Linked DNA regions of Mytilus edulis. The main gene of each other region encodes a partner of the protein of the gene in region 3 in a complex. Links are inferred from orthologs where the notes say so. Each region holds a gene or a part of one and is shown on either strand. Other genes may lie near its edges. The genes, in order: U6 snRNA-associated Sm-like protein LSm5; RNA-binding motif protein, X-linked 2-like; small nuclear ribonucleoprotein Sm D3-like; RING-type E3 ubiquitin-protein ligase PPIL2-like.

Region 1 (6,833 bases), on a different chromosome or scaffold from region 3:
AGCTAGGTCAGTAATGATAAGATGACATTCAGCTTTTTTTTTCAGACACTTTAAAAGACATACAATAGACCATGACCTAGGTAGTTGTTCTTTAAATAGGTCAAAAGGATACTGACATAATCATCAAAACCAAGTAAAGTTCCAACTATTTCTTTATCGTTCTTCATCACAATGTGGATTCGAGATCCTATACATTTATCTACCAGTTCTGAAATGAGAAATTAAATAGTTAAAAACTAGTGTCAGAGCTATTGATCGTAATATTTCCAATTTCTTCTTTAAAATTTTTATTACTTCAATGTAATATTGGATGCAAAAAATAAGTGAAATAGGTGAAATGGAGATTTTTATATAACATCTTTTCATAAGTTATGCTCATGTGATGACTATTATACATGTAGATAAAAAGACTTATTGATGTTATCATGTTCATGTATATATCATATCTATCTATATTTATTTATTTTAATAATTGATTGCACATTTGATTTTACACTGTTAAGTTTACAAGTACAGTTTTGCAAACACATACCTGTCAACCTGTGACGATGAAAATGCAGGTCATGACCTGCATTGAAGAATCAAATCTCAGGTCATAACGCGTACGAACTTTTTCGAGCTGAATTTTAGTATTTATGGTACATTTTCTTATGATTTAATGTATATCAAAGATACCAAAACATCAATGCATGTTAACTTGGTTAAGTCATTTTAAATCCTAACAATTATTTGCAATTTTAAAGACTTTTATAATTTGTGTAAAACAGTCTTATGTTCTTTACTTTTTGTGATCATCAAATACTAGAATTTAGTTTTCAAATGTAATCTTAAAATGTTTGAGGCTACTGGCAATGTAGCCTTAAAACATTCCATCATCAAATTCAGAAGGAAATTAGACTATGATAAAATATAGTAATACAGTTAAAGGAAGTATAAATGTAAAAAATAATTTTCAACTTTTAAAAAAAAATGTATAAAGGTATAAAAATAATGTAAAGTTATTTTTCAATATGTATTTGAATTTTTATGATTTAATCTTTTTCACCCATAAAACGTAAATATAAGGAATAATTTTGAATAGTGACAAATAAGGGGAAATAACTCTTAGTTGAAATATGTTTGTAAAACAACAGGGCAATTTATTTACGACCTAAATCTAAGGTAATTGGTGTTAATTAATAGTGTGTTTGACATCAAAGCTGTCAAGTGAAGCCATGCACTTAATTGGTCACTTAATTTGACAGTTTACATAACTAGATGAACTTCCTGTTCATTGAATTACGAATTTGCCGGTATTTCAAAGGAATATTACTTATGAAATCAATCTCAAGGCTAAGAAATACGGGTGAAATCGGTTCATTTTCGGAATTCCCGGGTTATTTCAATGACCCGGCGGGTGTCCCGGGTGTCCCGGGTGATCCCTCAGAATTGTGAAAATCTCGGGTCACACCCGCAGAATACGGGTCAGTTGACAGGTATGCAAACATACGAAGAGAACAGAAGAATTTAAATTGTTCATCATTTTTTAAATGTTTCCGGTCTCGTCTGAAATCAAGAGCAACTATAAACATCGTAGACACATCAGAATGATCCAAAGATCATGATTTCAATGCACACAGAAGGTTAGTATACACATTACGCGTTTGGTCCACATACTTATGTATATATGATCCAGAACATATATAATAACACCCGGTACGAAACGTCTTGGTAACAAATTAATGTAGTTACGAATTGTCTAGCAGAGCTTGTATCAATTGTAATGGTACTGGAATTTTTTATACTGGAAAGACTACACAAAACCACCGCCACACTTAAGATCTTCTCTAGCTGACAATCAAAGTGCAGTAGGACTCCTGACACTAAATTGGGCACCCAAATCCTATATTGATGTAATTCCAGACATCAGAGAACACATCGAGGACCTAAGAACTAAATGGATGGAAATTTGCATCCTATGGACACCAGGACACACAAATATTCAAAGGAACGACGAAGAGGACTTATTGGCAAAGCAAGCAGCAGAAGAAGCAACACAACTCCTGTCAAAAAAACAACATACTTACCCTTCAAGATGTAAAATAAGGTGCACACAAGAGTGTCATGCTGAAGTGGCAAAGACGATGGGAATTAAGCAACACAGGAAGAGAACTTTTTGAGATAACACCAAACGTTTAAAACATCCCAATCTTTAATTATCCAACCAAAAAATACTTCATCATCTTTATACAACTAAGAACTGGCCATACAACCTTTAACTACTATAAACAATGCACAGGGCAAAACACCACTGACTTATGCAGCTGTGGAACTAAGGAAACACAACAAGACTACCTCACAGAGTGCCCCAACTACGAGAGTTATAGAGAAGAAATGTACCATCAAATTACAAAGGATCCCTCTTACTGTTTTGTTAGATTTCCGTATACCGCTTACACTATGTACGTAAGCAATTTTCATTTTTTTTGTCATTTCCAGAGTCCCGCTAGACCTTACTTCCCGTTTTCACGACACAATAATTTGACTTTCACGTGTCCCGCTTACAAAAAATTGGCAATCCCGCGTCACGCTTAGACCCCAAATTATGAGACCCACTATCATTCGATGAGATCTACAGTTAAAAGTATCTATAAAAGTATGCAGCCTCCAACCAATTGAGTCAAAGAAAGTGTACCCTTAACAAAAGCAGGAACAGTATTTGTACAGACTTCGACCTCTTTCACATGAAAAATTATATACCGGTCTTTTTAAAAATTTATATGGTCATAGATATGGTTTGAAACTGTTGTACATTTATGGTTTGAAATGACAAGCTTCCAAAATTGCAGCCTTAATTGAAAGCCAGTAAAAAATACACTATCTATTATCGTACACTTAGCACAAATTACCAAGTGGAAGTAGCTGAGATGGATTTGAGAAAGTTGTCATCGTGGGTTTCTCACATGTGGATTTGTTGACAAAGTAGAAAAGGCCAAAGAGATAACGAAAGAAAAGGCCGATTCGACACTAAAAATAAATTTATTCTCGGGGTTTTTGATACTTAAGAAGAAGGAATGAGTCATGGCGGTAAAGTCGAACACGCCTACTATGACAAATTCCACCGGAAGCTACGGAAATATCCGATGTCTACCGAAATAATAATTTTGATGGCCGAAAAAGATGAAGATGCTACACAATGATGCTGATTATTGTAAAGAGCAATTAGAGCGTCTCATGGCCGAAAAGACATGAACAATCAAGAGCACAGAAAAGATGTGACTAATGAGAGAGAAGTGGAATGCTATTATCGCCCAGGTACAGAAAAACAAAGAAAACTTTACTGTTTTTATATGAAGTTTATCTCGTCATGGTCCATTGCGTGTTCCAAAATAAATGCCAAACAGCAAGATAACTGAATTTTTCTCATGTTTTAAGCTTTGAACACACTAGTTTTGAAAGTTATGTATCAAATTGTCTTAATGTTAAGTTTTATTATAAATTAATCAACAATACTTTTGATTTTGATATAAACTTTTTGTCCAGAACAAAATAATTTATGAATGTTTGGAAAACATGCATATATATGAAACTCTGGAAATTGGTATCTAAACATTTGAGTTTGATTATTAAACTGTATGGTGTGTAGTGTGGATTATGGCCTGGCAATATATCTGTTCTGTGAACACTCCCAAATCACACTTAAACTATAATCAAGAGATACAAATGTATAATGAAGATGTCCCACATTCAACTGGCTTTGAACTAATCACAAAGAAAAATGTTCCTGTAAATATTTGACGTCACAATAGAAAAATATATGACGCCACAATGGCAGGGGTTAAAAAATGTTGTTACAGATAACTAGCCCAGGACTTATTGGCAGCAGGATTTTACTAGCCCTGTTCGAAGAACTGCTAGCCCATCAAAACTGACCTGCTAGCCCATGTATGCCTTACAAATCAGAGTTTGCTGCATAATACATGGTGGGTGTCATGTTTTGAAGGGGACATTATACACCGTTTTAAACTAGTTTATTTTCTGGCAGAGAAAACATGTTTATTGGTTTTATCGTGTGAAACAAGTGGTTTAATTATTATATTAGTTGCCCACACATACAAGGGAGACCTTTTATTGGGATGGTCGGGAAAACACTGGCAATATTCGCAGAACATGGTCTCGGTAATTTCATCCTGGCGCCACAGCCGACCTTGCCCAGGGGAATCTTTCTGTCCATGTCACTAGATATGTTCTTTTCCGCTTTTCCCGATCGTATTTTACATTTTTTCTAGATGAATTTTTAGCCTCAATAGTACCCCCTTCATCTACCGATTAATTGAAAATCTCGACAGCAGCAATGCACAATACCCCTGTACTGAGAAATCGATATTGAAAGTGTGAGATATTGCAATCAATAGATGATACCTGGCCACCCTGAGTTATTTGTTCTATTTTTAAAACATGTAACTGTACAACAGACTTGCGTTCAATATCGTAGGGTTACGTAGTGCTACATAGATTTTTGTCTACTGAACGAGTAGCTAGCCTAGCTGCTATCAATATCTATGTAGCAGCTAGGCTAGCTACTCGTTCAATAGCAATAAATCTGCATAGCCCTAAGGGAGTTACCATTTGATTTTTATGGGGGGGGGGGGGGGGGGGGGGGGGGGGGCTAGGATGAAAAATTTTGTCCTGCATTTTTTTTTAGTTGTAATCTCTGTCCTGCCTTTTTTAAATGTGAGGTCAAATATTTTGAATTGTGATGTCAAAGTTTACGGTAACCTGTGTGATTTTACATAATGGCGGACAAATTTGCATACAAGTGTGAATATGTCTATATTGTCATAGCGGCACAGATTCTCAGGTCAAGCTGCACAAATTTCCAAATAGTGTTAAGGTCTACATTGTATTCTGTATGGTCATTCCCTGTATTTGAACAATGTCGTTGGGTAATGTGATGCCTACAATACTTTCAGATATTGTGTGTGATGTCAGATAGAATCACTTGAGTGTTTTCCGGGTAGAACTACATTTTGTACCTACATGTAAAGTACAGTAAAAATTCTAAGAGAAGGCAAAACACAGGATACATTCAGGGGCGTAGCTCGAAAGAAACGATGTGGATGCAACTACTGCTGAGTGGAGCGAGGCTAAAAATTTTTGGGACCCTATTATGCAGAATTTTTTTTTTTTCGGGGTTTCGGTCATAGGACGGTTATAAGAGGAGCTATATGTAGATAAAAATTTATGAATGTAAAACTATTAATAAATCTTCTGAATATAGTTACATAAACAACACATATTTGTGATACAAAATTTACTCAAAATTGTCCAAAATCTGCTATTCGGGTCTGGGCAGAAACAAACTTCTCTATTACTTTGTCAACATTCACACTGAAATCCCGATGAATATGCAGTAATGCTATGTAACTTTCGTTGTTCATTGTTGATCGTACATTTGTTTTCAATTACATACGTAGTACCGTGACTGATAGATCTCAGGGCCGTCATGGCATGGTAGCACCCGCGAGATGTTATAAACCAGCGTACGTGTTCGGCATCGAGCAACCTCCCAATTGAATTTGTCAAAATTACATGCTAGGTCAGTTTCGTATGTTTCAGACAGTATTGAGATTTGTTTGTTTGTGATATTTCCTACAACATGATGAAGCAGATACAGCACAAAGAAGCGATTTTCTGATAACTTGACGCGACTCCACTCTCCAGTTGCCTTATCATATGGTCTATGAACACAAAAAATAATGTTTTGGCCTGGTTGCAGGGTGATTGGCTCCGGTAGTCTGTCAACCACATCGCCTCGGCATATTTTCAACGATATCCAAGGGATCTGATAATTCTAATGCCGATTGGTACATCTCATTCCAAACTGATGAACTGTACACTGTAAAATGTGCTCCAAAACTACATATCTTAGACTGAGCATTACAAATTCAAAAGTAAAAATCTTTTAAAAGATACAAGTAACCTTCCGATTTTGTCATAATCTCCAAAAAAAAAAATATTTTGAAACCAAATGTCGTTATTTAATGAAGTTATTTATTTCATCAATTAAAAAAAGTGACAACATAGCTGTTTCCTTTAACATTCAATTGATAAATTTTTATTTTGCCATTTCTTTTTTTGCATGCCGAATCAATGTGCACACAACTTCGAAGCTACGAACTTTTTCTGAATGAACAGCTTCATCAACACTTGTAACAAGGTTGTCAAACTTATATCCGGGATAGACGGAAAAGACACCAACAGTCTCCGATTCCGATTGACCAACTCATCTCTCTCTCTTCTGCTTTTTTTTTTTTGACGTGGATGCACGTGCTGTCGTGCCTCCGGGTAGCTACGCCCCTGACATTTGTGTATCAATGATATCATGTGTGCATTCAGATGTTATATTTAAACCACCATCCTCAGCAAGCAACTAAAGATGGAGTTATATCAATAAGAGGGTAGTTATAGCTATTTTACTATGATTTCAATTCAATATTTGTTCATGCTTGCCTTGAAACCCAAAGGTATTTCTAAATGTATTCACTGTGTTTAATGCAAGATGCTGAGCCAAAAATATCTATACTTTTTTTTTCATTATGTTGTTTCATACTGTTTCTAACAGAAAATATAAATCTTACTTAGTGCTCAGAATATGACTGCCACTTTTTTTTTTATTGAATTATAGAAAATGATGCATATTCTGTCTTCAGGTTTCCATCCCAAATGATAGCATGTGTACATGTACATGTACATGATTTCAATAGTGACAAAGTTTGATGAATTGTTGTGTGTTTATCCAACCCCTAACATTAAAAGTGGAACTGGATCTGCTTACCCTTCTGGAGCACCTG
Region 2 (7,566 bases), on a different chromosome or scaffold from region 3:
AGTAACATTTTGTCCAGTCTTCATGGTCTTAACTCTTTTTTTGTAATCATCTATATACATGTAAGAAGTACCTATAAATCACTAGACTATTTTTTTTTTTTAATGTTACTGTAGCTTTAAATACAAATGTATATATTGATCTTGGGACATTATTCGAACTAACATCTGTGTTTATATAGAAGACAGGTAATGATAATCTGGTACTGAATCTTGAATAATTACAAAAAAAATCACTTGTTAAAGTATATTATAACTTTATTTCTTAAATTATATCACTCTTTTAAGTTGTTTTTTTTTCCAAATGCACCACATTATTTCTCAAATTTTGGACTTGGAAATATATCATCATTATTTAAAGCCTTCATTATACTATAGCATTTTTTTTATTCAGCAAATCAAGAATTTACAGATGAATATTGTATCTTAGCAGCAAAAGGTGTTTTTTTTTCAATTTTACTAATATAATGAAACTATCTTAACATCTAAACTACATTTGTATATTTGAAATTTTGATAAACTCTAAATCACAGAATTTCTTATCTGCTAATTAATTCCCCAGTCTGTTTACACCAGTCTGTTTACACCACAAAATTTACTTGGAGTATAGGCCAATTTGTTCACCTGGAAATGGTTAAAAATTATAAATGCATGGTTAAAATTCAAAACTATATTTCATTTAAAATTACTAAAGGGAGATAATTTCTTTACCTCTATTGGGCTTTAACTTGTCTTAGCTATAGCTGATGCTTACAAACAGATAATTATCTTATATTTAGAGTCCGACTTATATTGTGAGTATTGAATGAATTTGACATACTGTGAAATCATTACTTTTCATGGGGTTTAAATTTCGTAGTTTTGTGCATATATACAAGATTTCATTGGGATTTAACTTTTCATGGTTTCCAAGAAAATCGAAGTGATATTATATGTAGGTTAAATTTTCGTGGGGGATTTAGTTTTGTTGATATATTCTTTCCACGAAACAAACGAAGTTAAATCCTTCACGAAAATGTCTGCTTTTGCAGTATACATGTATGTTTGCCACTAGGATTGCATTAATATCAATTTAATATACATGTATATATATATAAATTTGAAAATATGTCTTATTTTGTCAACCTTAAGGTTAAAATGGGAGTCCTTCTTATGTTTTTTACATTCTGATATTGAATGATTTATTGTTTTCTGTTCCTATCGGTGTCAAGACTATAACAAGTTCAGATTCTGTTGATGTTACTAATGTACATTACAGTGATTACTGACATATAACCTGATCATGAATCCGCTTTCAAGACTTTTTAAAGAAAAAGTGTAAGACATTTTTCAATTAAAAGTTTTGGCTGTTGGCAAAAAGACCTTTGAAAAGAACCCATCTATACATATTCAAAATTCGAACCTCACATGTGAAAAAACAGTAAAATTATTAGGCATTGAAATAGACTACCAGCTAAATTTTGATGTTCATGTCAGCTCAATCTGTAGGAAGGCATCACAGCAATTAAATGTTTTAAAACGTTTAGGCTCATTTTTGGATAGACTTAGTAAACTTACTATATTTCATACTTTTATTCTTAGTAATTTTAATTTTTGCCCTTTGGCATGGCATTTTTGCACTGAGAAAAATTCCAAAAAACTAGAAAAGGTGCAGGAAAGAGCACTCCGTTTTGTTTATGAGGATTTTACCAGCTCCTACGAGGACCTCTTACTTAAAGCTAAGGTGCCTTCCTTGCAGATCAGACGGATAAGAACAATGGCTCTAGAAACTTTTAAAATTATAAACAACATCGCTCCTGTGTGCTTACAAAATTTGGTGAATGTCAAAAAATCTAAATATTCTTTCAGGTATGTAAATATTCTTGAAATTCCACAGGTAAAGTCAACCCGTTACGGTAAAAAATCGTTCAAATTTGCTGCTGCTACTTTATGGAACAGTCTTCCAAACCATTTCAGGACTGAAAACAGTTTTTCACATTTTAAAAGTCTTGTTCAGTCCTGGAACGGTTTGGAATGTCACTGTTCTGCTTGCAGATAATTCTTAAACTGTTTTATTATTTATGCTGCTTTTGGTTGCTCTGGTCAAGCATGTTTTTACTTCATTCTAAATTTGTTGATTATTTTTATTGCATGCTATGTATGTGAGATTCAACTTTGTATTACAGGTTGTTTTATATGTCAAAATGCACTGTTTTTATGTTATTTATATGTTTTTATATTCGGTCAAAAGCTCCTTAGAGCTTGTGTTGCTTATTTGTACTCATGCCGAATCAAAATAAAGTTTTCTTATCTTATCTTATCTTAAAAGGATTAATGGAAAAACCTGCCAGATTTAACAGTGAGAGCAAACACTTTAATAACTTAATAAATAAAAGTGAAATTCAAAATGCCGAAATCGATGGGTCACTGTGAAAACTGTCTACTAATGAGAAAATAAAGGTTGGCAGGTAAGTGAAACTTACATAAATGAAGAGATAATTTATGAAAAATGAACAGATTGATGCCCGATTTATATAATTCCAAGGCCGTCAGTCGGCAGCAGAAGCGACGAAGCAGCGCATCTATTTTGGGTGGGCAAATATCCACTTTTTGATATAAGACGAGCTCTGACGTCCCACGGCCCCAGCTTGTCTGGCAAAACAGCCGTTGGACGTCAGAGTAATCTCGGACTAATTTACGATATAACAAGTTTTAGCGGGGTTGACAGCCTATAAAGCGGCATATAACGGTACTTCGTCACCACCTGACATTTTTCTAAAATGCAAGTTAAGTACTTTGTGTTATAATAAGGTATATAGGAAATTTTTTCTGAGACAAGTGCCTGTGATCAGGTAATTTTTGTGAAAAATAAAAATCGTGTTCCATTCATATAATTTAAGCAGAATATTTACGTGAGAGGATTCATGTCCTATTGCTAACTAATCAATATATCTTTCCAATGTCACGTAGAGTTGCTAAAACTGATCAAACAGCAAGACAACGAAACCAGAAAAACATTTTGCTTTTTATACCTTTTTCAGCCCTTCTTAAAGAAGAGTTTCAGCTTGTCATTTTCGCCCCAAAATACATTCGCCACAAATGATATATCATCATGTCATCTAACTAATACTCAACCTTTATAAATGACAAGTTTTGCTGGTTTTTACTTTTGTTGTGCATTATTCAGCTTTTTTTGTTGAATTCAAGAAAGGGAAGATGAAGGTAAAACTTTTTATTTTGCCCTCAGATTTAAAACCATCGTGTAAATCAAAGTTTGGCCCCGAAAACTACTCGCCCCAACTTCGTCTCATCATCAAACAAATACTTACTTGGTATAAATAGAGACATATTATACATGTCTCTGCTATAACATTATAAAGTATTCATATTTTACCGTTCCCATCTATGGCCCGGTTTTTATATTTTAAGTCAGTATATTTTTTTTTTTCTTATTTATGTATAGTACGTAATTTACTTTTCTTTACTTTTCTTTCATAGCAGAAAACATATCGTTTTCCCAAATTTTGTTATATTTCTATCCGACTGACTTTAAAAAGAAAGTTTTCAAATGAGGCTATATTTAATTTTAATAACAATTTTTCCCCAGTAAAACTAATAACATAATTGAATCGACCTAGTAAACATTGTACGTAAGGAGACTATCTGCACAATTTGTATTTTTATCAATTAAATGATTGCCAAGAAGATCTAACAAGGACAACGATTCATCTAATGGTGGAATATACTTCATAATAACTAAAAGAGACACTCATCTAGTAGTGGAATATACAGCTCGCACTCCATAATAACTAAAAGAGACACTCATCTAGTAGTGGAATATACAGCTCGCACTCCATAATAACTAAAAGAGACACTCATCTAGCAGTGGAATATACAGCTCGCACTCCACACTAGCTTAAAAGAGATATTCATCTAGTATAGTGGAATATAAATCCCACATTTCACATTAGATAAAAATAGACATTTTATCTAGCGGCAGAATAAACAGTTAACTCTGTGCATTAGCTGAAAAGAGACACGGAGAAACCATTATTAAAATGTTCTGACAGCTCTATTTTAAGGTCTACTTATGACTTTAGATGGTAATGATAATAAGCATAATAACACGGACGACATACCAAGAAGACTTAGCTAGTAACCCCAAAGTATTTAGAGAAATCAGACCATTATTATTTTTACTATAACTACACAAGTTATACTGAAATCGTGATTGAAGATATCAACGGACAAACGGTGCTTTTAAGCAAACAAAAGTATTTAAGATGAGATAACAGAATCAAAGTTTACATTGATAATACGTATAATTTATAGTTGATTTGAGAAAGGTATAAAGCACAAATTTACGAGTTCATATATATATGTATGTTAGTTGGCCTTCGAAATGGCTGAAAGATTGAAACAATTTAGAGAAATTGGGAAGAAAATAGTCGCAGTCTGCCGAAACTACAAGTTAGTATTACCTTCTACTCTATAAAATCATAAGTATACGTTTGTCAGTTATTTGATGTACCCACTCCACAGATGAGACAAAGGACCATAAAGGTTATCAAATTTCTCATATTTGGTCAATTTTATTCTGATGCAAAAATGATTTTTTTTATATGTTTTATTCATTTAAAATAATTGAACAAAATCAGATGAACAAATATCAGGTAGCTAACCTTTTTAGACCACATCAGAGATCGATTGAAGGAATTGTAAAAGAAAAAACACCTGCAGATAGCAAGATTTTGCGTATCTGTTTTATCGACACAAACAGATATGATAGTCCAGGACTTTGCAAAGGCATTTGATAAAGTCAGCCATCCACGCATGCTACACAAGCTCAGACACTATGGGATAAGAGGGAAAATCACAAATGGATCACAGCATTTTTAGACAACAGAACACAGGCAGTTGTACTGGAAAATAAGTATTCAGACAAAGTGGGAGTAACATCTTGAGTATCCCAAGGCAGTGTACTTGGACCTGTCCTTTTCCTTATCTTCATCAATGACATCACTGATGATATACAGTCAACAATTCGTCTGTTTGTTGATGATTGCGCCATCTACCGGCAAATTATAACTACCAAAGATCAAGCCATCCTTCAAAAAGAGATGACTACCTTGACGAAACGGGAACAGAAATGGAAAATGGAATTTAATGTCAGCAAATGCAACGTGATGCACCTAACAAGATCTAAAACCCCCCCATAAAAGAACCCTATTACATGCATCATGGGAAACAACTAGAAGCAGTCACAGACACGAAATACTTGGGAATTACCATCAAAAATTACCTTAGCTGGAACCTACACATACACAACATTGTAGCCAGTGCAAACCAAGCACAAGGGATGCTTAGCAGAAACATCAAAAAAGCTCCACAACAAACAAAAACCAATGCTGTCAACGCACTTATAAGACCAATGGAGTATAGCGCAGCCATATGGGATCCCTATACGCAAGAAAATATTGACAAAATAGAGCGGCTCGCTATATTTTCAACGACTACAGTAACCAATCGAGTGTCACAAGCATGATAAGCAAGCTTAACTTGATACCTCTCTACCAACGAAGAGTAAACATCAGATTATGCATATTTTACAAAATTGTAAATGAGCTAGTAGCAGTTCCAACAGATACTTACCTCATCCCACTAAATAGAACATCAAGACACTACAATACCATGACATACACCATCTTCAACCCAAGACATGATTACTACAAATTCTCATTCTTTCCAAGAAAGGTAATAGCCTGGAATAAATTACCGGAATCGAAAGTGATCGAAGCTTTCAAGATACTGGTTACCGAGATGATGGAATGTTTTTTTTATCCTGCACCAACTGTACAGCATGCACCATATTTTCTTTTTTGATCCTTGATCTTTTATTGTAAATAGACATCTACGTAACGCACAAGTAATGAGTACTCGTTATTGAGTTTAACTACTATATCTAAGAAGAAGAAGGTATTTAAAGCGGAAAGGGGTAAATATCGCTTTGAAACTTAACTTACATATGTATATATATATATATATATATATAGAGAGAGAGAGAGAGAGAGAGAGAGAGAGAGAGAGAGAGAGAGAGAGAGAGAGAGAGAGAGAGTCTATAAGAATCTACCAACCAGTAAACTTAATAGGTATTGGATCATCAAAATTGACAATACTACACAAACAGGAAAAATTATATGAGTCTCGCACAAAGATGGAAAAACTGAACAGATGATATAAATTATACAATAATTGCAAATATTTCGGCTCAACAAATGGCCTTCTTCGGTGCAAAAGTTTTAACAATACTGATATATAATGTATAAGGTGTAAAGATAGATGTATATATATACAACTCGTCTAAACATCAACCCAACAATGTTAGATCTGTAAATTTGCTTTCGCAAATTTTTGGTTCTTCCCTCGCCGGGATTCGAACCCATGCTACTGTGATATCGTGACACCAAATCGCCTGCACTGCAGCCGTCCCGCTAGACCACACGACCACCTGGGCTCTCAAAAAAAAAAGCTTTCGCTGGCCGTTTGTTACCTTTCCTCGTCAGTTTTAATCTAGCGGCGTACTACAGTACATGATATAGAAGGCATGAAGATGTTATTGTTACAGATCAGCTAAATTATCTATTGTAAAGGATCCTACAAATTAATGTAATATACAGTCACAGAAAATAATTATATTTATAAGTACGTCTGAGTCAGTGACAACTCTACAACAGATGTATCCATCGGATCGCCATCAATGATGGTGATACATGGCTGTGTACATAATGTATATACAACATATATATTTTAGAGATTGATGTCTATATTAAGATTATCAGAACCACCAAGACTCACCAGTAAACTCTTTATTGGACTAATTCTGTTTTAGAGTTTTAGAGTATTTTAATGTTAAAAGTTTAATGAAATACATTCACTCTTTTGCGACTTATCTTGTATACAATCTTTATTAAGTTTGATTTTACAGAGGTCTTACTGCTGCTCAAGGCATACCCAATCCGAAGACGCCAAGCCTGTTTGCAAAGCCAACAACTGCATACATCACCGAAGGACAATCTATTCGTGTATGTTACTCTTTTAAAACTTACTGCAGTACCAATTTCACGGTGGGTAAAGTTGTCCTGCGAGAAAACGGTCTGTGCTGTTATTTCGGTCCTGACCGGTGCTTGTGATCATGCATCGAAAATATGTAAACAAAGACGAATATTATGATTTTTGACGTTTTTTTCTCATAAAGAATGGAAGGAAACAGTTGAGATTTTTTTATTTTTTTATTTTTTTTTATGGGTTCAAGGCAACCATTAGAAATGTGACCATTCAAGCTGTTTCAGTGAGCGTAATACAAACATACTAATTTTCAGAAAATCTAGAAATGAAAAAATAAAACAAAAATGCTCCTGGAGTCCGCCATTTATATCCAAATCCACACGACAAAATTATTTTGTGAAAACCCCTTGTAATTTATTAAAATTTTGCATTTTCTCTCTTTATTCATGTCATGATATTGTGCTGGTGGGTCCTGTCATTGTGCTAGTGGGTCCTGATACGATGCTGGTGATTTTGGATAAAAAG
Region 3 (7,092 bases):
ACTTGTTTAGTTAACATACAAGTCAGCAATGTTTCTTTCTCATTTTGTACAAATGCTTTGAATGACTGATTTAAATTACTTTTGACCTCTTGATATTATGTACGTTTGATCAATTCTTGCATTGTGTTTATTTTATGTATGCAATATCTGTAATACATGTATATTGTTCTGAAACAGCATTATGATCTGGTGTTATTTTATAAGGAGACGAGCGCTATTCAATAATTTTATCCAATTTCCAAATTGCCACAGCAAATTACAATCAATCATCCAATTTTCATTGTAATTTTGTAGTATGGTGAAGTGCTATTCTTTTTGGGAAAGGGGTTAAGTTCCAAATCTCCCTTGAGGAAAAGGATTAGAATCTTAGCTGTGTACTAGTACAAGGAAAATGTATAACTTGTATGCATCAGTTGTAATACCTGTAGCGGTTCTATAATATCATTAGATTTGAATGAATATAGATATGACTTTTATTCACAATTCTGAAAATGTTTGTTTAATCTTCTCTTTTTTTTCAATTGAAAACTGGGCGCAGAATAATTAAATTTAAGCGAAACTTAAATGTATCATAGATTTATAATATCATTTTTAGTATATTTCCTATCCAAGCTGAAAATTAAGTACCCTCTTATAACCTGACAAATTATTTGGTTGCAGAATAATTAAATTTAAGAGACACTCCTCTCTTTACCCGACAAATTATTTGTGTCTGAAAGTTAAAATAAGTTGAGAAGTTGATATATCAGAAGCCATAATAGATCATTTGTTTATAAAATCATTTTTTATCTTGCAGATATACACATACTTTTTTACTGATTTTATATGTAAAGATATAAATAGTGCTATCATCATTTGTAAATAAACATCCCATGTACATTTTAGGTACTGAATAATCTGGATCTGTAATAGGTTACAAGTACTTCACTCATGTGCAAAGGTAATAATCGAATTGATGGGGATTTTTTGTATTGTGCAGGATTTCTTCTTGTAAGGACATTAACCATACAATGCTTTCCAGACCTAATAATTATAAAGAGCACTTCTTGAATCTTACAATTTGTCTCTGTTTTCTAAAGACAAATCTACACATTGATATGAAATACCAGTTGAATTGTATTATAGAAAATTCTTAATGTTTTAACATTTTCATACTTGGTATTTTTTTTTATTGTAACTCTATTGTTCAGAGTTAGCAGTTATATGTGTGTTGGATGAACTTATGAAAATATATAAAGAGAAAATCAAGTGATAATTACACTAGTCACAAATGGTCCAAAAGTTGTAATATCTAAAAGTGACGTTTAAGTGTGATTTATGAACATACAGTATATAGTATAGAGGTTGTATGTGTGACCAAAAGTATCACAAAATTTAAGATTTTGTCATTGTAAATCTATTCATTGATTTTGACGATTGAGTCATTTGATTTTAATATTAAATTATTTAAACATAATGAACATTGTTTTCTTTAATTTCAGTACCAATTAAGTATATATGTATATGTATATATTAAGTGCCTAGAAAATCAACCTTAGGATGTTAGAGTAGATTTGATTTGTAACTTCCTCCCCGGCGCCGGGGCTGGAACCTGTATTTGGATATATAATTTTGCATACAATGTTGCAATTAAATCTTGAAAAACATGTTGACTGCATTAAAAAAAAAATTCTTATGAATTATAAGCTATTTCTAAAATCATGTCTTTTGACAGACAAGATTGTGGATTACACACTTTCTGATGATGGCATTTACCCAATAGACGGCTGTATCCCTGCATCAATAAAAGATTGTGGATTACACACTTTTTGATGACGGCATTTACCCAATAGAAGGCTGTATCCCTGCATCAATAAAAGTTTCAAGTATCTTCATTATCTGCAACTAGCCAGACCAGTGACCAACTAATCAGATTTGTATTTCCGAAATATTTTGTGCCGTAGGAATGGTAACAAAATAATTAGGGCCCCGCCTTTAGGCGGGTCGCCCTATAGTGATCAGTCTGTCCGTCCGTCCTTAACACTTTAACTTTGTGTCCGCTCCATATCTAGAGAACCATTATGATTTCATACTTTATACTTTGCATGTTTATTAACCACCGCCAAAGGGTGTGTCATGATGTATGTACAACTTCCTAGGTCAAAGGTCAAGGTAAAAAAACTTTGGTTTCAGTTGACAACCCTGTGTCCTGTGGTGAAGACCGTGTCCGCTCTATATCGTGAGAACCGTTATGATTTCAAAGTTTTTACTTGACATGTATATGAACCAACACCAGAGGGTGTGTCATAATTTATGAACGACTGCCTAGGGCAAAGTTCAAGGTCAAAAACTTTGGTTTCAGTTGACAACCCCATGTCCTATGGTAAAGATTGTGTCCGCTCTATATCTTGAGAACCGTTATCATTTCAAAGTTTATACCTGAAATGTATATAAACCAATATCAGAGGGTATGTCATAATTTATGTACAACTTCCTAGGTCAAAGGTCAAGGTCAAAAACTTTGATTTCAGTTGACAAACCCATGTCCTATGGGTGCTATAAACAGTTTCGTACTAAAAACTAGGGGTATTTCCCCAGTGAGATTTACATACTGATGGAATTCCCTGCTATTTATATACCACTAAATGAAAAAGTTGATTGTTTTTTATGTTCAATGTGAAAAACATATATTGAAGTTCAATTAAAATGCCACTTTTGTCAAGATTTAAAAAAAAAAAAATGTTTTTGTGACTTCCTACTATATGGGAGGCAACTCCATAAACAGCTGATTTTCACCTGTTGCAAAAAGCACTTTGATTTGTCAGGTAAGATAGCTCCTTTCGGAGCAGGCGAACGTAGGCTGAAACTACATTTTCTTAAATCAGCCGGATAAGCTCTTCGAAATGCATATTATAAGAAATCTCAAATATATGCACAGGTTACTGATCCGTGTGTCCAAAGGTGGTCTTTTTAAGGTTTTTTAGGGGGAAAATGCCTAATTTCCAGCTGATAACTTGTACCAATTTGCATGTTTAAACAAGAGATGTTGGATTTTTTTTTATTTATTCAGAAAGTTCATAGAATTATCTTTCCATTGATGTATAGATATCTATATAACTATGAATATCTGACTTCTGCATGATGGGTCCACTATTACATGCCCTGTTACAGAATGACGTCACGTAAAAAACTGTTGATTGCACCCTATGGTAAAGATACAATTTTTTAATGCACATTATTCACAGCGGGACCCACAGAGATGGCTCCCATCTCAATGATATCTAGTTAACTTCAAATATTTTGTGGTGTATAATGATAATAATAATAAATTCTTTATTTAAAGAGGGTAAACACATATATAGCATCCTACTTTTCAACCATTTGCTTAACATGTGTTGGAAATGATGATAAAATTGAGAATGGAAATTGGGAATGTATCAAAGAGACAACAACAGGACCAAAGCAGACAACAGTCGAAGGCCACCAATAGGTCTTCAATGCAGCGAGAAACTCCAGCACCAGAGGTGTGCCTCAGCTGGCCCCTAAACAAAAATGTATACTAGTTCAGTGATAATGGACGTCATACGAAACTCCAAAAAATACACAAGAAACTAAAATTAAAATCATACAACCATGTTATGGTTTGCTGGAAGATGCAGATAAATTAAATTCACTATTATGTATCCTGGATACCTGCTCTTGTTCTTACTGTGTATTTACAATTTAGTTTGACCTGACATAACTGTAAATCTCAACTTGCAACCTCACCTACTCCAAATAATAACATCTGTGAAAAACTGCCAAACATAAATTAATTCTTAGGGAGCAACTATTTAACTTTAAGGGGGGTTTAATATGGTATTTTTGTGTGAGTAAGACATTTTAGGTATGGAGGAAATATGGATTCAGATTAATATTTTTTTGTTGTCTGCTTGACAACAATATTTTTGTTCATAAAATTGGGGAACAGAATAATTTTTTTTTAGGAAAAAGCCATAATCTCTACTCTTGAAATTAAATGGGTGTTCCCTTAATATGCTTACATTATAGTAATGTAGAATTGAAAAAGTTATATTGCTACAACCTTGATTTTGTAAAAATTAAAACAAAGCAAGAAATGGATTGCTGTTACAGTTATGAACGCTTATTTATTGTCCTCCATCCACAGGTGCAAGAGAAGATTTTATTATAAAAGTATATATTATAATACTCTATAACGTTTCTATATTTATTCACAAAATTGTATATTGATACAGTATAAATATATATATATATATATATATATATGTATGATAAGTTGGCATATGTATACACAATAACAGTCAAAACTTGAGCTCTGATGAGCTCTTTAACCAACTATAGATGTGATATGCAAGTTATTATCTCGTCCCTGTGTAAGAGTCTGAGTTTGATCCTTATTCGATGCAGCTCACAACAATGGCTTTTTATGCAATTAATTGTTTTAAACAATGTTTTTTTATCAATCAAGGGTAAGTAAAAAAAAATTAAATGACCTGTCACTTAGTTTGTGACAGATCATTCCAGTTTTGGTGCGTTGTTTCATATTACCAAAATTTTGGTTTTTAGTCGTAACGGAAACGACCGGTGCGCGTTATCCGCCATTGTTTGTTTTGATTTTTGCCGGCACTGAAAAAATCCATCATCATCTGTGATATCTGGCAACAATTTAGATTAATTTATACTCATCAAGGCATTTCAAAAACATCATCATGTCTATAGGGGTGCCAATTAAGGTTCTCCATGAAGCAGAAGGTCATATTGTCACCTGTGAAACTACGACAGGGGAAGTTTACAGAGGCAAGCTTGTTGAGGCTGAAGACAATATGAATTGCCAGATGACAGCAATAACATGCACGTACAGAGACGGTAGAGTTGCACAGCTGGAAAACGTCTATCTCCGTGGAAGCAAGATCAGATTCATGATTCTGCCGGATATGTTGAAAAATGCACCTATGTTCAAGCGAGTGAAAGGAGGATCTGGTGGAGGTGCAGGAAGAGGGAAATCTGCAATTCTCAGGGCACAAGGTATAAAAAAGCTTGTGGGAACTTAATTACATGGGTAACCTGTATTTTATGTAAAATCGGATGCCCACCTCTCTCCCTAGGCCCTCATCCAGGCATAATTTCAGGCTATTATAGCCTGAATGCCAATTTGTGTGGGTCTGAAAGGCAAACATAACTAGATTTTGCAATGCCTGTAGGTGCTTTATAGTTTTATGGCTGTTCTGTGTTGAATTATGACTCGACAAATGATTCATGCACTTGACAAATCCCTGTAATGAAATGTTGAATCGTTCAGATCCCCACCCATGACCTGACCATCAAGACAATAGTCTAATGATAGTCAATACACCTTATCGCTATTCCCAGCTGACCTGGGAATCTGTCTTGCTTGAACTAGTGATGTCATACAACAATCACTTTTCCATTATGGCGTCAGATATTTTGTATTTCAGTCTGCACCAAAAACTTTTTCAACTACTAGTCAGAAGACCAATATTCTGACATTTTTCTTATTGGGCCAAACAAAATTTTGCAAAAACTTACTAGTCCGAATGAAATTTTACTAGTCTGGGGCATCGGACTAGTGGCTAACCATGCAGACTGGTATTTTGACGTCAAAATATTACGGGAACCTGTGTGATGTTCCGAAATGGAACACTAATAATGATGAGGTGTATTAAAACGTGTTAAAAGCTCATGACTTCTGATAGTACTGATCAGACAGGAATTTGTTGCTACAATATCAATCAACAGACCATATCTTTCAATTGTCATATGATCGAATTACTGGACATTGCATCACAGCAATATTACTTTCGGTTAAAACTTTGGTCAAACAAAATTTCTGGAGCCACTTTAGAATAGAAAAGTGAATTTTGTATGAAGTACAAAATGAAACTTATTTAAGGTTGATCAAAAGTTGTTGAAATATTAGGTTGTATTTATACCAACATATACAAACTGACGCATCAATCAAAGTTTTAAGGTATGCTTGACCTAGATTTAAAAAGTTACATGTAGTTTATAGGTCCTGAAAAAAGATAACTGATAAACAGTTAACGTTACCCGTACATGTACAAATGTATATAAAGTTATTGCAAGTTGATTATTTATTACATATTTTGTTATTGATTTAGCACAAAAACACTATGCAACCAAAATGCTTATGAAATTTAACTTCTTGAAGAAATTGATAACATATTCTCCCTTTCTGATATCCTAGCTTGGGCCTTGCAAATGTGATTTTAATTATGAATAACCGACATGTATGAACCTATAATAGTTGAACTGATTTATGAATTTTGCGTATTTCAGCTGCACGAGGAGCTAGAGGTCGTGGTGGTGGTGGCCGAGGAGGAGGAGGATTCCAGAGAAGACATTAACATTCTTTCTTTCATTGACATTTTGTGAAATCAAGCTGAACAATCGTGACAATGGATGAGTGTTTGTAAATCTTGCAATTGTTGTCAAAATCCAAAACAGCGAAGTTTGGTTTTTATCATAGAATCATTACATTCTTCATGATCATGTGACATTGTCATGTTTTACACTGTATTTATAAAATATTTGATGTACATTTATGTGTTTTGATCTCTTCATCACTGGAGTTAAGATGATATTGTAACTTCCCAAGATAGCAGACTGAAAGTAATGTGTAATAACTCCATCCTAATGATGTGCTATAACACAATTGCTGCAGGTTAGAATACCGGTAGAGTTGAACTCTCAGTTGCAAACTTGTTAAACGCAGTCACATCAATAATATTTGTGTCAATTTTAAGATCTGAACCTGTTTTTCAGTGGTTGTTGGTTGCTGTCTTGTATCTGTTTTTAGAAAGTTTGCTATAGCTTGCTACAGCCTCAACTTCCAGTTAGACAGAATATCGCAATGTTCTGCTCCAAGATAATGTTACGTAGTACTAGTGTTAGAATTCTGATTCTTGGATATTTTGAGTTGCTACTCTTTTGGAAAGATTACAGCTTGAATTAAAAAGGAATTAATGTTCACGGACAATTCAGATGAATTTAACTTCATTTTGAAAATAAGAATCACAAACACTACTTTGAGGAACGGCCATTGGCTGAAGA
Region 4 (7,464 bases), about 10 Mb from region 3:
CTGTGACAAATTTTAAATAATAAATGGAAATGCATCAAAAATATACATTTATAAAACAAATATACATCACTCTTTCACCTCAAATAATGGCAATGATACAATCACTTAGACACAAAATTCAAGTTTTTCAATCAACAATCACTGAATGATTTTTTTTTATTTTGTCATGTTTATATATTATTTAATTAAGGATTTAAAATAATTGTAAAAAATATGCATATAGAAATTACAAATGGATAGTATACATGGTATATACATGTATGCATTTATGGTGCAATTTTTTCTTTTACATTAACATAACCAGAAAACTTATTTTTTATGACTTTAACAATAGAAGTATGTAATATATATCTATTTGATTACAGAAAAATTCCCATGGCACACTGTTAAAGTTAATATAATCTTGATAATAAAAAGGGATCAATAATTAGTAAATCAAATTACAAAAATAACTGTCATTTAGTTGAAAATTCACCAAATGTGCATTTGAAGATGAACGGGAACGTTATGGTTATCACGTTACACGTAAATCACTGATATTTAAAAATCTTTAAATATGTTAAAATAATTGCTAATGAAATCAAATATTAATTTAAGTCATGCCTCTGGAATTTGTGGATATTTGATTTTGTGGTTTTGCCAATCTCTGTATACAAAGCCTATTCAGATATGTGTTGTTCATTGAACATTTGAATTCGTAGTTCATCTCTACCCATGAAAATTGCTATACAATGAATAATAATGAATCCAAAGTTGTTTTTTTAATAAAGAAATACTAAAATTTAGATGAGCATGCATACATTACATGTATATATGGCAATGAAAAAATTAAAATACATGTTACATGAACAAAATTGTATGTGCTATTCATGCCATTAAAACTTGTATCTGATTTATAATAATAATCAACATTTTACTTTAGTTTAATTGCATTTTGTATTTTAAAGCCCCCACTTTTTTTATTTCAAAATGCAGAATGGCAGAATTAGAACGTTAGTTAATATTGATAAAATTAAAGTTTTTAAGATTGTATCATCATCATCATCATGATGTTTATTGAACATGTTGAATTTGAGTCTTCAACATGTAATTTTCTTTTTATTATAGTTTCTACTTTTATGACTTTTGGATTACTTGCCTCAGATCAACTTAAAATTACAAAATTATATCTGAGAAAGGGGAATTGAACAGTTCAGATGTCATCTATGACATGTACATTTGTATGATTTACATGTCATGCATGTATTAATCATGTTAATGGCATAATGATAAAATATCTTTATGTGACAAAATATCTTCATATTTTTATGAAACTTGGTATACATGTACATACAATGTACATTGTAATTTCATTTTCACCTGGTAACTTTCAGCATGAACATGATGAATAAGGTTAAAATTAGTCAATTATAACATACATGTTTATATTTTCACCAGTTACTAAAGTTCCCTAATTTCCCTGGTACAAATTTAGCTTTCTTTTTTTCAGTCTCTGATTGCTCATCGCCTCCTGATCTTTTCAAACTAGTTTCACTTCCAGTCGAATTAATGTACTTTCCAACACCAGATTTGTAAACCGTAGGAGTACCCTCAGCTGCAACCTTCCTCTTCCTTTCTTTTTCTAGCTTTTCCTTTTCTTCTTTTGCCTTCTGAAGATCTTCTTCTCTTTCTTTTTGAAGTTGTTCATCTGCTTCTTCATATGGATCTACAAACACTGCACAGTCTTCGATTATTATGTCTTCCTTTGGCCTATCTTTCTTGTCTGTCTCAATGAGTTCTACAGCATCTAGTGAACCTATTCCACCTACAACTCTACCAAATACTGAGTGTTTACCATCTAAATGATGAGCTGACCTGAAAGTGATGAAGAACTGAGATTTGTTTGTGTTTGGTCCAGAGTTTGCCATACTTAAAACTCCTCGGCCGGTGTGTTGTAAATTTGGTTTAAATTCATCTTTGAAAGTTCCACCCCATATTGATTCCCCGCCAAGGCCTGTACCAGTAGGGTCTCCTCCTTGTAGTACAAAATTTCTTATTGAGCGATGAAACTTTGAACCTTTGTAGTACTTATTTTTACAATGCTTCAGAAAGTTCTCACATGTTTTTGGGACCATATCACAATAAAGTTCAATATTCAGTGGACCATAATTAGTGTCAAGTTTGACGTATCCTTTCTTTTTCACTCTTTCATAACGCAGTATATCTTCATCAATAAGAGCAGTTTCATGTTCTGTGACGGGATTCATTGCTGTTGAGGTAAATGATGCTGCAACTTGACCAGTAGAATAATGAGCTGCATTGAACTTATCTGCTTTGGCCATTGAAGCTTCCTCCTTTACTGGAGCTTTGTAAGTTTTTTCAAGCTCATCAAGGACAGATTGAGTCATGGTGCTTGCAGATCTGATCTTTGACTTTGAATCAGCTTTGTCTTCATTTGTAACCTTTAAATTATGTTTAAAATGGTAAAAATTGGCAAAATTGCATTTTTCCACATCTGTGGGGTCCTGAATGTTTATGATGTCAGCCTTTGAAAACGGCTCGTCAGATAAAAGGTCTTTCAAGTGATTTGGCTTGAGATTAAGTTTAGCCACTGCGTTTTTGCTAAACACGTTACCTGTTGTTTTAATAGCCACGATGCTAGAGTTCTGATTAAAAACCTGAAACGTAACTGGGCAGTGAAATTTATCATCTTTGTTTTTATAAAAGTTCAAATGGATCAGATCTTTTGCTGTCATCTTTTCTCCGTTTACCGGATTCACGCCGTACTTTTTCAGAAACGGAACAATGTTCATGATATCGAAAATGACGCCGTCTTTGGTACATAGTGGATCTTGAAAAGGTTGGAACGATAAGCTACAACAGTAGAAAGGTAAACGTCTAAATTCTGCAGATTTCTGAAGCTGACCTTTATATCCTCCGAATTCTGTTCTCCATTCAGTAGATGTAAGATACAACTTATCTTTCTGATGTTGTTTTTTGCCCATTTTGCTTGGTCGGAAGTTACTGTATCATGATAAAGAAAAGAGTGCACTGACGGGAAGGGAATGCGCGAAGTTCCGATACCCACATTAACTGGCCACCCGCTGATTGATACTTCGACAGATTGAAACAACAGCAGGGGTCCAGTTTAATACCCACATAGTCGGAAGCAAGACAACTCGCCTCCTGTAAAATCGTCCCAAGTCGCCCCATTTTTTTCACCAGGTCGTCCCACTTTATAGATAGTCGCCCACTTATGAAAAAGTATTTCCCGTTAAATATACTCCTTCCAACTCTCCCCATTTTATAAATCAAGATATAAAATGATAAAGGTCCGCCAACTCGCTACTGTAACGTAACGGTACCCAAATTGCACCGAGTACCCAAATTGCACCTATTTAGCTAAAATAGCAGCGGACATCTAACAAGATTTCCTAGAGACTAAACAGTAAACATTTTGTATTTTTATGATTTGATACTATGCACATCTTTCGACATAGGTAAATATATTTAGATATGCACAAAACGTTCACAACAGTATTTATCAATAGATGAAGTGTTTACTGAAAAAGCAAAATGAACTGAAACGTCGCCATGCCGTCATCAAAACGTCATCTTTTTAAAATGATGAAATACAATATGTTACAAGTATCCATTTAAAAAAAATGAAATTAAGCATGGACTAATATCCAATTGTTTAAAATATTTGAAGAAATTAAACAAAAGCTCTGTTATTATTAGACTTTTGACGATGCGAATTTAAGCATAGATGCAATTTGGGTACACTTCTCATTTCAGAATCATTGATGGTTTGGAGGTCAGTTTAGACCCTTTTTTCTAATATATGATTCAATATGAATTAAACATCAAATTGGTGTTCCAATATAATAAAGAAGGATACGGCTAGAAATTAAACACAGAATGGACATTTTTGTCTTTATCATAAAAAAACGTAGATGAAAAAACTGTCAAAAGAGGTGTAATTTGGATACCGTCACGTTACACTTAAAATGAAAACTTATATATCCAGAATAAACAAAAAACAAACGAAATTTAATATGATATTTTTTTTTTATTGAAATGATGTACTTTTGTCAGTTTCACTTCTTAAAATATAATTGCAGATACATTATTTATGACATTTATTATTATATAATTTACCTATTTATTGGAGATGGAGAATAACTTTATTCTTGCAAGCTAAATTATTTGCAAAATAATTGCAAAAAAAAAATCTATTCATTGTATCATAATCCGATATATTTGCATAACAATTTAAAGTGAAATAGTGAAATAATCACTGATTCTCTTTTAGCAGCCAGTATGGTTCAATTTTGTCAAAATAAGATAAGAAAAATAGATGGTGAATTCTTCACTTGCAATAATTCGACCTCATTGAATCCGTAGAAATGAATAACGCATGCACTGTCCGTGTTCAGTTATTTAAAGGAAATGAATGTCAACATTGAAAGTGAAATAAAGATGAATTAGTTAATTATATGGCGTCCAGACTAAAAAAAAACAAGAAAGTATGCTAATATCTTATATACATTAGTAGATATATAAATATTTACAAGATATCAGTCGAGCTTATTAAGAATTTGTTTAACAGACTATCTTTTATAAAATTGAAAATGGAAATGGGGAATGTGCCAAAGAGACAACAACCCAACCATCGAAAAAAACAACAGCAGAAGGTCACCAACAGGTCTTCATTGTAGCGAGAAATTTCCGCACCCGGAGCCGTCCTTCAGCTGGCCCCTAAACAAATATATAGTAGTTCAGTGATAATGAACGCCATACTAATTTCCAAATTATACACAAGAAACTAAAATTAAAATAATACGAGACTAACAAAGGCCAGAGGCTCCTGACTTGGGACAGGCTCAAAAAATGCGGTGGGGTTAAACATGTTATGAGATCTCAACCCTCCCCTATACCTCTAGCCAATGTAGAAAAGTAAACGCATAACAATACGCACATTAAAATTCAGTTCAAGAGAAGTCCGAGTCTGATGTCAGAAGATGTAACCAAAGAAAAAATAAACAAAATGACAATAATACATAAATAACAACAGACTACTAGCAGTTAACTGACATGCCAGCTCCAGACTTCAATTAAACTGACTGAAAGATTATGATTTCATCATATGAACATCAGGCACAAATTAATCCTTCCCGTTAGGGGTTTAGTATCATACCATCATAACATATATGAGAAGAATATAACCCGTGTCATGCCAACAACTGGTTTTTGAATAAATGTGTTTAGTTCCGATGCAAAGACCCTATAAGTGAATCAATATTAACGCCAAAATATGCAATCTTTATAATGACCTGACAACAGTATCGTAACTATATCCCTTCTTAATAAGTCTATTCAAAGATTTTGTTAGTTTTTGAGGTGAATACTGACACCTTTGTGCTTTATAAAGAATATTTCCATAAAAAATTGGATGTGAAATACCTGAACGTATAAGAAGTCTGCATGTTGAGCTATATTTAAGAATTGAATGCTCTTTTTTGTAAATTTATTGGGGTGTAAAAGCGTTAACCGAAGTACATTTTGTATGAAGCGCGGAAGTATTCAAGATATCTTATATACTTTTACAAGATATCTGATTATCCCGTTAAGATGATATCTTGAAATTAAATAAACAGTGATAAATTCAAATTAATTTAAAAAAAAGTACTTTTAAAAAATACCTCGCAGTATAATGCGGAAAACAATCATCACTGGTAGGATTTTCGATTCTTTATTTTATTGTACGCTACTGTTACCCTAGCGAAAAAGCCAAAAAATAAGGAAAGAGAACATCAGTGGATAGAAAAGAAACCAGTATTTCGAGGAAATATTCTCGATTTTCATGCAAGAGGAGTAAGACTGCTTAAACAATTTGTCATAATCACAAAGGTTAAGTAACTTAAAGAATACCTTTTATTGTATAAATAGACACGAATATGTCATAATTAGAACCTGAAGTAATACTTTCACAATGCCGCATCTCTATTTATTTGTTTCAACTTTCACTTTATCCTAAAGTCATAATGAAACCTCAAATCAGGAACATATATATATAATATGAGGCAGGCATTACCTGTGAATACACCTTATCGCTAATCCCGGCTGACCCGGCCACTTGAACTTTTGACGCATACAACAATCACTTCCATTGTGGCGTCAGATATTTTGTTTTATGACGTCAAAATTTTACGGGAACCTGTGTGATTTCCAGTAATGACGGACAAATAGCGATAAGGTGTATGGGGACAGAGTCTGTATGAATTATTTTTTTTTGTAACTTACATATTTGTTAAAAAAAAGAAACGGAAATACTGCATTACTGTAACGTTTCCGATTTTGGTTCTGTTGTTAGGGATTTTACTTGTGACGTTATTTAAGTTATGAGGTCATGTTCAATGTAAACAAAGAAAGGCAATGCATCAGGTAATGTTAATTCATATCAAAGACAAAGAATTATTTAAAATGAATTCTAATATGACGTGCTTCTTTAGCTTTGTAAAGAAACCGTATACTTTATTATCCAATAAAATTAGTTTACACATGCGTATATTGACTACGGCAGAAAAATAAATTTCGTCAAATTGGTATGCATTTAATGTATTTCCTTAAATTAAAGCACTTTCAAACACTAAAATGATACACATTTTGTTACTAATACTTTTCCAATAACAACAATGTGTTACAATTCGTAATTGTCATAGTTGACCTAGAAACCACAACGTTCATGTTGGCTGTTCTAACTTCAAAACCCCTCCCTCGTTTCATCTCTCCTGTTAAAAAGGCATGTCATTGTATATAATAATTTCATTGAAACATATGTTCCGACGATAAAATATAAAATAAAGTATAGGTTATTATTACTGTTGTACTGAAATGACAAAATTGTTTCATATTTCTGATAAAATGGATTGACCCTAGCAGGGAATCGAACCCCATTCTCCTATAAAAAGAAATAGGCGTAATTACCAATATACCACCAAGGTTTCCAATCCATTTCACAAATGCAACAAGATTGTCACCCAGTATTAATTTAAATCATCATGTTATACAGCATTTGAAACCGTCAGATGCACAAAGGGCACCAACTTTACAAGGTGTAGCCACCGCAAGTATAAATGGAGATCTGTCAAACTGAAAGGGCCCCTCCTGCCAAGTCTCGAATGTCAGCAAAACTTTATCAAGGAATCCTCTATCAGATATGAACATATTTACCAATGCTACAATATCAACCGGCGGAATATTTACGATTAATTTAGTAAATAAAGACCTACCCGATTCTCCTTGTGCAGTGGCGGATCCAGGGGGGGGGGGGGGTGTTGTGCGTCCACCGCCATTGACAACTGACTTGAAAATGTGCGTGTCAGAAATTGACCTCAAAGGAAAAGACTGTTGTAATATAACTTTTCTGTTATATTATGACACAAATAGTGTTTTAGTTAATAAATTAATTTGTTAATTTCT

The links.
Region 1: small nuclear ribonucleoprotein Sm D3-like (region 3) and U6 snRNA-associated Sm-like protein LSm5 share a complex: the UniProt entries of both Homo sapiens proteins name them as parts of the U4/U6-U5 tri-snRNP complex. The link is inferred for Mytilus edulis from reciprocal best matches to the Homo sapiens genes SNRPD3 and LSM5.
Region 2: small nuclear ribonucleoprotein Sm D3-like (region 3) and RNA-binding motif protein, X-linked 2-like share a complex: the UniProt entries of both Homo sapiens proteins name them as parts of the minor spliceosome. The link is inferred for Mytilus edulis from reciprocal best matches to the Homo sapiens genes SNRPD3 and RBMX2.
Region 4: small nuclear ribonucleoprotein Sm D3-like (region 3) and RING-type E3 ubiquitin-protein ligase PPIL2-like share a complex: the UniProt entries of both Homo sapiens proteins name them as parts of the minor spliceosome. The link is inferred for Mytilus edulis from reciprocal best matches to the Homo sapiens genes SNRPD3 and PPIL2.

Annotation. Positions count from the first base shown.
Region 1 is NC_092357.1:54,417,708-54,424,540, forward strand, and holds the start of U6 snRNA-associated Sm-like protein LSm5, read right to left. Parts: upstream 3,025-6,833; 5' UTR 2,929-3,024; coding exon 2,889-2,928; intron 209-2,888; coding exon 113-208; intron 1-112. Other genes in the region: kalirin-like, read left to right, coding at 3,228-3,294. UniProt on the Homo sapiens protein: Plays a role in pre-mRNA splicing as component of the U4/U6-U5 tri-snRNP complex that is involved in spliceosome assembly, and as component of the precatalytic spliceosome (spliceosome B complex).
Region 2 is NC_092346.1:77,143,082-77,150,647, forward strand, and holds the start of RNA-binding motif protein, X-linked 2-like, read right to left. Parts: upstream 3,029-7,566; 5' UTR 2,903-3,028; coding exon 2,889-2,902; intron 1-2,888. Other genes in the region: oxaloacetate tautomerase FAHD1, mitochondrial-like, read left to right, coding at 4,379-4,446, 6,962-7,058. UniProt on the Homo sapiens protein: Involved in pre-mRNA splicing as component of the activated spliceosome. As a component of the minor spliceosome, involved in the splicing of U12-type introns in pre-mRNAs.
Region 3 is NC_092349.1:81,658,299-81,665,390, forward strand, and holds small nuclear ribonucleoprotein Sm D3-like, read left to right. Parts: upstream 1-4,575; 5' UTR 4,576-4,709; coding exon 4,710-5,025; intron 5,026-6,318; coding exon 6,319-6,386; 3' UTR 6,387-6,580; downstream 6,581-7,092. UniProt on the Homo sapiens protein: Plays a role in pre-mRNA splicing as a core component of the spliceosomal U1, U2, U4 and U5 small nuclear ribonucleoproteins (snRNPs), the building blocks of the spliceosome.
Region 4 is NC_092349.1:71,243,442-71,250,905, reverse strand, and holds the start of RING-type E3 ubiquitin-protein ligase PPIL2-like, read right to left. Parts: upstream 3,028-7,464; 5' UTR 2,985-3,027; coding exon 1,431-2,984; 3' UTR 1-1,430. UniProt on the Homo sapiens protein: Has a ubiquitin-protein ligase activity acting as an E3 ubiquitin protein ligase or as an ubiquitin-ubiquitin ligase promoting elongation of ubiquitin chains on substrates.